Kluyveromyces lactis: one gene and its partner. The protein of the gene in region 2 purifies or fractionates together with the protein of the main gene of each other region. This does not show direct contact. Links are inferred from orthologs where the notes say so. Each region holds a gene or a part of one and is shown on either strand. Other genes may lie near its edges.

Region 1 (3,581 bases), on a different chromosome or scaffold from region 2:
ATTGCAAAGTACTGAAATGTTGCTATACACTCCTTCTAACGAACACTTTGGAATTGTACCACTCGAGGCTATGAAGTATGGTGTACCTGTTTTGGCAGTAGATACGGGTGGTCCACTAGAAACAGTGGTAGATTACAATGAGACACCTTCTCATATTGATGCAACTGGTTGGTTACGACCATCCGATGCTGATGAATGGTCAAAAGTGTTGGATCAATCCGTAGACATATTTGAAAAGAATCACTCCTTATTCGAAGTTAACGGTCCTAAACGTATTAAGTACTATTTCTCCAGAGAAGCGATGTCCAAAAACTTTGATAATACCATCGACCATATTATTTGGAAGTCAAGAGGAACGCGTTTATGGAGCACATTAGCTCCAGGGCTACTGATGTTCACTGTCCAATATGCTACACTGTTGATAACAGGCGATGCTTCTTGGCCATATTTATTGCTAGCTGCGATTTCTTATTTTGTATTAAGAAGTGTAAAGGCCACTGTGTACTGGATCATCGTTTTCTGTTACCTAAACTATTCAACTTAAAAGCGAAGCCAATCTTAATTTATTATAACGACTTGTGCAAAATATATACACATACCCCTCAAAGTTAAGAGATGAAAAACAGACGTTAACAAGCTATTAAGTTTCTAAATATTACACTAATTAACTCTTCCTCCATATCCATTTACACCAAATTGAACACCAGGTTGATTTGAATTGCTTCGACTTTGAGTATTAACCGGTGAGCCTATTGTTTGCTGCATCAACTTAGAAGCCGTATCTAGTTGAGCACTGGCGTCTTCCATTCTTTTCTTCTGCAGGAGTTTCTGTTGCTGTTGTTGCATTATTAGCTGTTGAGTTTGAATATCCCGAGGGGTGATGCCCTGGGTCATCATGGGTTGTTGCCCTGCAGGTTTTCCAGCCTGAACTGACTGTGGAATTTGCATTTGCATTTGAGATAACGATCCGGTAGCACTAGATTGTCGTTGCCGCTGTTGTTGTTGCTGTTGTTGCTGCTGCTGCTGCTGTTGTTGTTTCAAACGTTGGGCCTGTAATATTTGAAGCTGTTCTGGTGTCAAGTTTTGAGGTGATGCGTTAATAGGTTGAGGCGTACGTATACGGAACGTATAATCAGTCGTTCTATCAATGTCAATAAGACCGACCCTTGAGCGGAACGCACCAACTCCAGGGCTCTTAAAGCCTGGTTTTATACTGAAAGCAGACCCAAACATTTCTCTCATTCTGACGTACTTGGTTCTTGATCGTGTAGAAGTCAATACCGTAGTTTCTAACGGTAGTGGGTATGAACGTGAAACACCGTTCAAAACCAGAGTAGTCTCTTCTTCAGGGGACAATTTGGGTAATGACTCATTGACCACTTCATTGCTGCTGGTTTTCCCAGTGTTTTTATCTTTCCCCTTTTGTTTAACTTGTGGATCCTGCTGATTTTGCTGTGCCTTTTGGATTCTAGTCTTGGACGCCGAAGATTTCAACTGGTTGCGTTTCTGATAATCAGCTAATAATATGTCAAATGGCTGTGACCGTCCCTCCACTGCACGTTTCGCTCCCATTGAGTGCGATTTACATGTTAATGATCTACCGCAAACACCACCTTCAGGTAATGGTACACCACACTGTTTATCGAAGTTAACCAGATGTGGCTCTGTCGGGTTTCGCTGTTTTATCTTCCTTTGTTTTCTAGTCGATCCAGAAGGAGTGGATGATTTCTGTTTCTTTGAAGGTGAATCGAAATTCTCAGGATCTATCGACGAGGATCTCTTATTACTCCCCTTACTTTTAGCAGGAGAAGACATGATATCCTGCGTCTCATTCTTTTTCACAGGCATTTTATCAATACAGTGATTCTCTAAATGATCTATAATAGCTGACACCAATACCGGCTGGTGGCAAGCTGTACAATTCCTATAACGGATATCCTCTTTAGAAACGCCAGATAAAACTTCTGACGGCCTGCTCAAGTATTTTGAACGAATATCCGTGGATGATAAATCCGAACTATTCCCGTTATTCTTAACAATAGACAGTAACTCCTTCCAACCGTTCTTGCTACTTCCTAAATCTTCTAATTGAATGTCTGATCTGATTCCTTTAATCTCTATATTGACACTTGACATGCTCTTGTACCAAAATCAGCCAGGTAAAAAAAAAATGATAGGGAGAATTACGATGGAAATGATGAATGAATTGAGACAAGCTAACAATGATCAAACTGTCCTTACCTAGCTTTCAAAAATAAACCAGAGTCTATCGGTGGTAATGCAAATTGGTGCCTAACTATGGTAAAAATAGCACGTTAAAAAAAAAGAATCTGGTATGAAGTGAGCCCTCAATATTGATTGTACAAAAGTAACTTTTGTGGCAGGTAAATAACACGTTAGAACTATCTCAAAAGCCTTTTAAAATCTTTGGATCACCCGCTCTAAATACTTTCAAGCATCTGAATTCATGTATTATCTTATGAAATGTTTCTGTCCATCGGTATGTTATTCCTGTCGAAATCGTCGACTTTCAGAAAGGGAAACTTGAAAGTTCTTACAATCACGTGATATGACTTAATGGAATGTGTCAATCCCCCACACACCAATTGGTCCGTCGATAATCGAATTGCAAGCTAAATATAACATATTTCAGGATATTAACTTCCTATGGTATGTGTGTTATATAGATTGTCTACGAAATGAAATGACATTTAAATGAAGTGGATTCTTCTTAACAATAAAACGGTTACTTTCAACAAGGTGATATCATGGAATACTGGGACAGTGGCCCATCTTGAGCTAAGGATCCTTTCAGCCACTTCGAATACCCGAAGTCTAAGGTATAGTCTAAAACCTTCAGAGCTATTGAAAATTGGCGGTACAAACGGCACTGCTTTCCGAATGTACTCATCTCGAATTGACACTGAAGCTACCGGATCATCAACGATAATCCCGGTAATGGTCATACTACTGATATATTTGATGTCAATTTCGGAATTGACGGTCCAAAGGTATACGGCAAGGTTGTTTTCTTGCAAGTATGGTAATACAGTTTTCTTGAAATCGGGTTTCCAAGAGTTAATGAAATGAAGACTGACACCATGCAACTTGTAGTTGTCATCGCTCAAGGATTTAGAGTATTCGACAAATTTAGTAGCCATCGCTGTGAAGGGTAAGATGGCCACGATCTTGAAACCCTTCAGTGTGGCCGTGGTGACCCCGTATTTGTACCAATCAAGTTGCCACAATCCGAACATCAAACGTTGCCTCCAGAAATCTAAATCATCGACTACTGCTCTCATTTCAAGAATCGCCTTGATTAAAAGAACCTTATCATTTGTAGGCTTGATATCCAACATAAATTTCATTGTAGGGTGTTCTTTTAACCATTGTAAGGCGTCCTTGAATGTCGTTATCCTGATTTCTGGATTTATCTTACTCTTCAACAGTAGTAATTCATCCAAGTTCGTCTCACCTATCACGACATTTTGGTCCCAAACTCTCTCTGTATTGATATCATGGTTCATTACTATCTTACCATCTTTAGTCAACTGTAAATCAGTCTCGATTACTTCCGATCC
Region 2 (4,374 bases):
GGCGGTTTCTTCCACCCAACTTGCCCAAAATACGCACAGTCGTATGACTTATTTGGTGATTGAATGGTTGCGGTTTCAATAAATCGAACAAAGCTTTCATAACATCACCGACAACTGGTTCCAAAATCGGGTCTAGATACTCTGGAGTTAGATTGTCGATACATAACTCCAAAGTCCTTAATCCTTGAGTTATCAATTCTGGAAATCCAACCAAGGCATACACTAATGGCTTCATTAGATAATTCAAATATGGTGCCAATACACTAAGCCTCACAGGCACAGTGAGACAGAGCTCCACATACAAATCGCGTTCGTGAGGGCGACAAGCTGTCTGGATCATCTTATTGAGGGACTGTAGAAGAGTTTGAAGTATTGGTTTTATTGAACGATACAAGTTTTCAAATCTGCCGCCACCAATACTTCTGAACAATGTTCTTATCAAATAGAAATACACCAAAGGCTCTTCAGCCTCTGTCGAATACTTCAAAGAATCTAAAATCAAATTATTCAAGTGAGGTAACAAGACCGCCTCATTGGTAATAGGGAAGAGATTGACAGACATGAATGATAGCTTGAATAGTCTGATGAGTATATTTGATTTGTTACTGTCCACATTCCCTAGTTCTGGAAGTTTGGAATTCAAGAACTTTAGAAGAATACCGGTGAAATTGGGAGATGTGATTTCACTTGTCAAGAATGATTGAGCAACATGCAACAAAGCTGAATCGCGTAGTAAAGATTCGTAGATAAAGACGATTTCACTCTCAACGATTTCATTGAAGACAGGACTGTCGATTTGCATGAAAATAATAGCGAAATAATCCATCAACTCTCGACCATCTTTAGTTGCTGACACAGGTAAGCTAGGTGTAGTTATATCGAAGTGTGCTTTTACTGTGGATGGATCAATGCCCTCTGGATTAGAAGAAAATAGATGTAGACCAGCTATACATTCATGGAACAAATTCTTCAACACGATCACCTCTTCGTAGGAAAATACTCTTGATAATGCAGACCACATTTTCGGATTCATTGTAGTATATTCATCTGGGGGTGGGTTAAAAACCTTCAAGTCATGAATAATGGTTTTCAGAAATGAAAGAAGAGTACGATATAAGTAAAATGCGTCCTTAAGAGGATCATTTGACGTCGCTTGGAAGAGAATTATTGGAGCATGATTTTGTATATCATTGAAGTCCAATATCTCAACTGAGTTTTCTTTGAACGATATATCCGAATTTTTATCTTGATTCTTTACAGTCAGTGATGTGTTATTATCACTATGCACCGAACTGTTACCTTTCTCTGATATATCAGGTTCTTCGCTCATAGTAATATCACCATCGACGTCGGCATTGGTATCAACAGTAACTGATGACGGTAACAATTCGTCTGTTGATTTCAAGATGTTAACCATATATTCATCAACATCGTGCCTGTCTTTCGCAAGTTGATCTTGGATCTCCTTAGATTTCTTATTTTTACTCTGTTCGTAGACATTATGTTGTTTTAATATCTTCTTATGCTGTGAATTTAATAGCTTGAATCTTGAAGTATAAGCCTCTATAATCGTCATTAGTAGCTTTTTGGCCTTAGGAACTTCATATGCGTCTTTCTTACCTAAAGTTAAAATCCGTTCTATTAAATTCAATAGTAGCTTAGCACTCATAATTTGCACAGTCAAAGCCAAAGACTCATCCAAAAGAAAACTGGTGTACATTTTAACAGTTTTTTCTATGTCAGCCATTGCCAAATCTGACCGAATATTATGAATGAAATCTGCAAGGGTACTGTACGCTAATGGTCTCAAGGTTTCATATGAAGTGAATCCATCACCAATCAAGACTTTTTGGTCAAACATCAAATTGATCTTGGGTAGAAACAATTTCTTATAACTTGTAGAGAGAATATGTCTCGTAGCATGTAATAATTCTTTACGTGCAGATGATAATTCACTTGGGCAGTCCTGTAATAATCTCATCACCAAATCTGGGACTTTCTTGACGTGTAGTTTCAAAATATCTGTAGCATAACCGCGAATAAACACATACGCTAAGAAAGAAGTTGCCTTGATTTGAGCTAGGACATAATCACAGAATGCAGAGCGGTTTTTGATTTCTGACGACATCCCAATAAGTTTTTCACCTTTAGCTTCTAGTTCTTCTCTGGATTTTTGCTGTTGTTTCACTTCCAAAGTGAGTAAGTCAATGACGAGTGGTAAAAAAGTCGGTAAGTCTACTAAAATCAAATGTTTATATGATGAAAATAAGGTCACCATTGTAATTGGGCATTCAGACAAAGTCTTGAATGATTCTGTAGCTTTTTCCAAATGTTTCTTGGACGGTGCAGACAAGTTTTCGAAAGCATCCTCCTCATTATTAGAGTTCGAAAAATCTTGTGAATCTGCAGTTGATGAGCTGGTTTCTTCTTCACCAAGGAAAGTAGATGCCACCAAGTTCGGTACGTTTTCATATATTCCAACGATAATTTTAATGAACGTATTCACTTCACTTTCTAATGGCTGCTTATAGCATTTGAACAACGAAGTGAGGATCTTCATACACAAGACACCATTTTCATCGTTTTCTAAGGTTAATATTTTTAACAGGCATTGCAGCACTTCCATGGCCATAGGTTCCATTTTATCGTTAAGTGGACATCTATTCAAAAGTTCTAGACATGTATTTCTCAACTTGTGTTCAGGAGATGAGGCATTCATTGAGATTTGATCATCATTCAACTGTGATAAAATGAGCGGCAACAACTTCTTCAAAAACTCATCGTATTCGACTGAAGAAGTTACAACATCCAAAACATCGTAAAGTTCTGATATAATGGCATGTCTTTCAGCAACATCTTCAGTATCCCTGATTCTTTCGACAAAAGTGTCCATTCTCTCATGAGTATCAGTTGATTCCATTGCTTATAAGTTACAATCGTTGCAGCTCAGCTATATTGAATAAAGAATCAAATTGCAGACCGCGTCTTCCTTTGAAATTAATGAATTAGGGAGGATGCAAGTTGAAATAAAAGAACAAAAATGCGAAGCTAGCTGATAGAACCTGTTGTCTAGTGATAAGGCGCTATAATTGCTTTGGTGGTTGAAGTTCGTGTATTCGTTTGAAATCAATACTACGCTTTTGTTGGTTGAGAGTACAGATTTCAATGTCATATCGAAATTTGAAAACAATTGGTACCAAGAAAAACAATTTGAAAAACCTCTGTAGACCTTGAAAAGTTTTGTATCACGTGATGACATTCCTATTTAGGAAGTGATCACGTGCATGATCCGAATAACTTACCCGGCTATTAATTTTTCATTGAAAATTACGTATTTGTTTTATTCTTTGCCATCATCAACAGAAAAATACGCACGAAATGTGAACGTTACTCTAGCAGATAAGCGGACAGCCAATGTGCATAATTTTTTGAGTGTCGAAAGATAGAACAATGGCGAAGGGTAAGTAGCGCTCACGATAACTCGTGTTTTTCACGGACAACATCTTATTAAAACAAGTACAACATAATCGTCGATTAAATTCAAGGCGGCTAACTTAAACGAATATCGTTTTTACTTACCAACTCGAAAAATGAGGCAATACCCCCCCTTTAGCTATTACTGGAACCATTAACTGCTTCTATTGATTGGACTGTGTGACGTAATCTGTGTGCATAAATTCACAGTTCACAAAGATCTACATACGGTTCTCAAAAAAGGGTTCATTCGGCCAGCACCGTACAGCTCTAATTAAGATTCGACAATTTTGTAGCGCTTCCCTGATAACCAGGTGATAGATTGTTTTACATTGTACCTTACAAATTCCTTCAAGAATTTAACTCTATCCTTGAAAAGGCGCTGAAAGTAGCTCTACTACGTTGTTTTGTTCTTCTTCATCTCCATTTCGAAAGCCTGTAAAACCAGAAGTACGCCTTGCATTCATGTTTTTTCAACCAAGGCTCAGAGTGTGGCGTGAAATTCACAGATCATCATGTAGAAAAAATATCCTTTTCCATCACTTTTTGCATCACATTTGGTAAAGAATCCCGTACCAAATGGATCACGTATTTGAAAAAAAGAACCGGAAAAAAACTGGTGTCAAGAATCTGTATGACGATAAGTAGACAGGCAAAAGCTTTGCCAGTTATTAGGCAAAAGAAGTTAAGGAATCACGACCTTGATCCGCATTATCAGTGGCATAAAGACCAGGCGTATCAGAACCCTTCAAGGGAAAGAAAATAATCAAAGCCGTTAATGAAGGCAGAAAGAGAGAGAGTTTTCCTTTGACAACTTAAAAACCTGTGTTTCCTTAGGCTAATAATAATCAGTGTATACCAAGTGAAACGTGAATGCTGACGGGTTCTACCAGATAGGAA

Evidence for each region.
Region 1: the proteins of TRA1 (region 2) and SGF73 purify together in Saccharomyces cerevisiae (affinity purification with mass spectrometry; 8 studies listed by BioGRID, with this or other methods). This does not show direct contact. The link is inferred for Kluyveromyces lactis from reciprocal best matches to the Saccharomyces cerevisiae genes TRA1 and SGF73.

The regions. Positions count from the first base shown.
Region 1 is NC_006038.1:214,083-217,663, forward strand, and holds SGF73 (deubiquitination module subunit SGF73), read right to left. Parts: upstream 2,137-3,581; coding exon 661-2,136; downstream 1-660. Other genes in the region: ALG2 (GDP-Man:Man(1)GlcNAc(2)-PP-dolichol alpha-1,3-mannosyltransferase), read left to right, coding at 1-544; PGC1 (phosphatidylglycerol phospholipase), read right to left, coding at 2,712-3,581. UniProt on the Saccharomyces cerevisiae protein: Component of the transcription coactivator SAGA complex. SAGA acts as a general cofactor required for essentially all RNA polymerase II transcription. At the promoters, SAGA is required for transcription pre-initiation complex (PIC) recruitment.
Region 2 is NC_006042.1:2,059,408-2,063,781, forward strand, and holds the start of TRA1 (histone acetyltransferase TRA1), read right to left. Parts: upstream 2,921-4,374; coding exon 1-2,920. UniProt on the Saccharomyces cerevisiae protein: Essential scaffold subunit of the transcription coactivator SAGA complex. SAGA acts as a general cofactor required for essentially all RNA polymerase II transcription.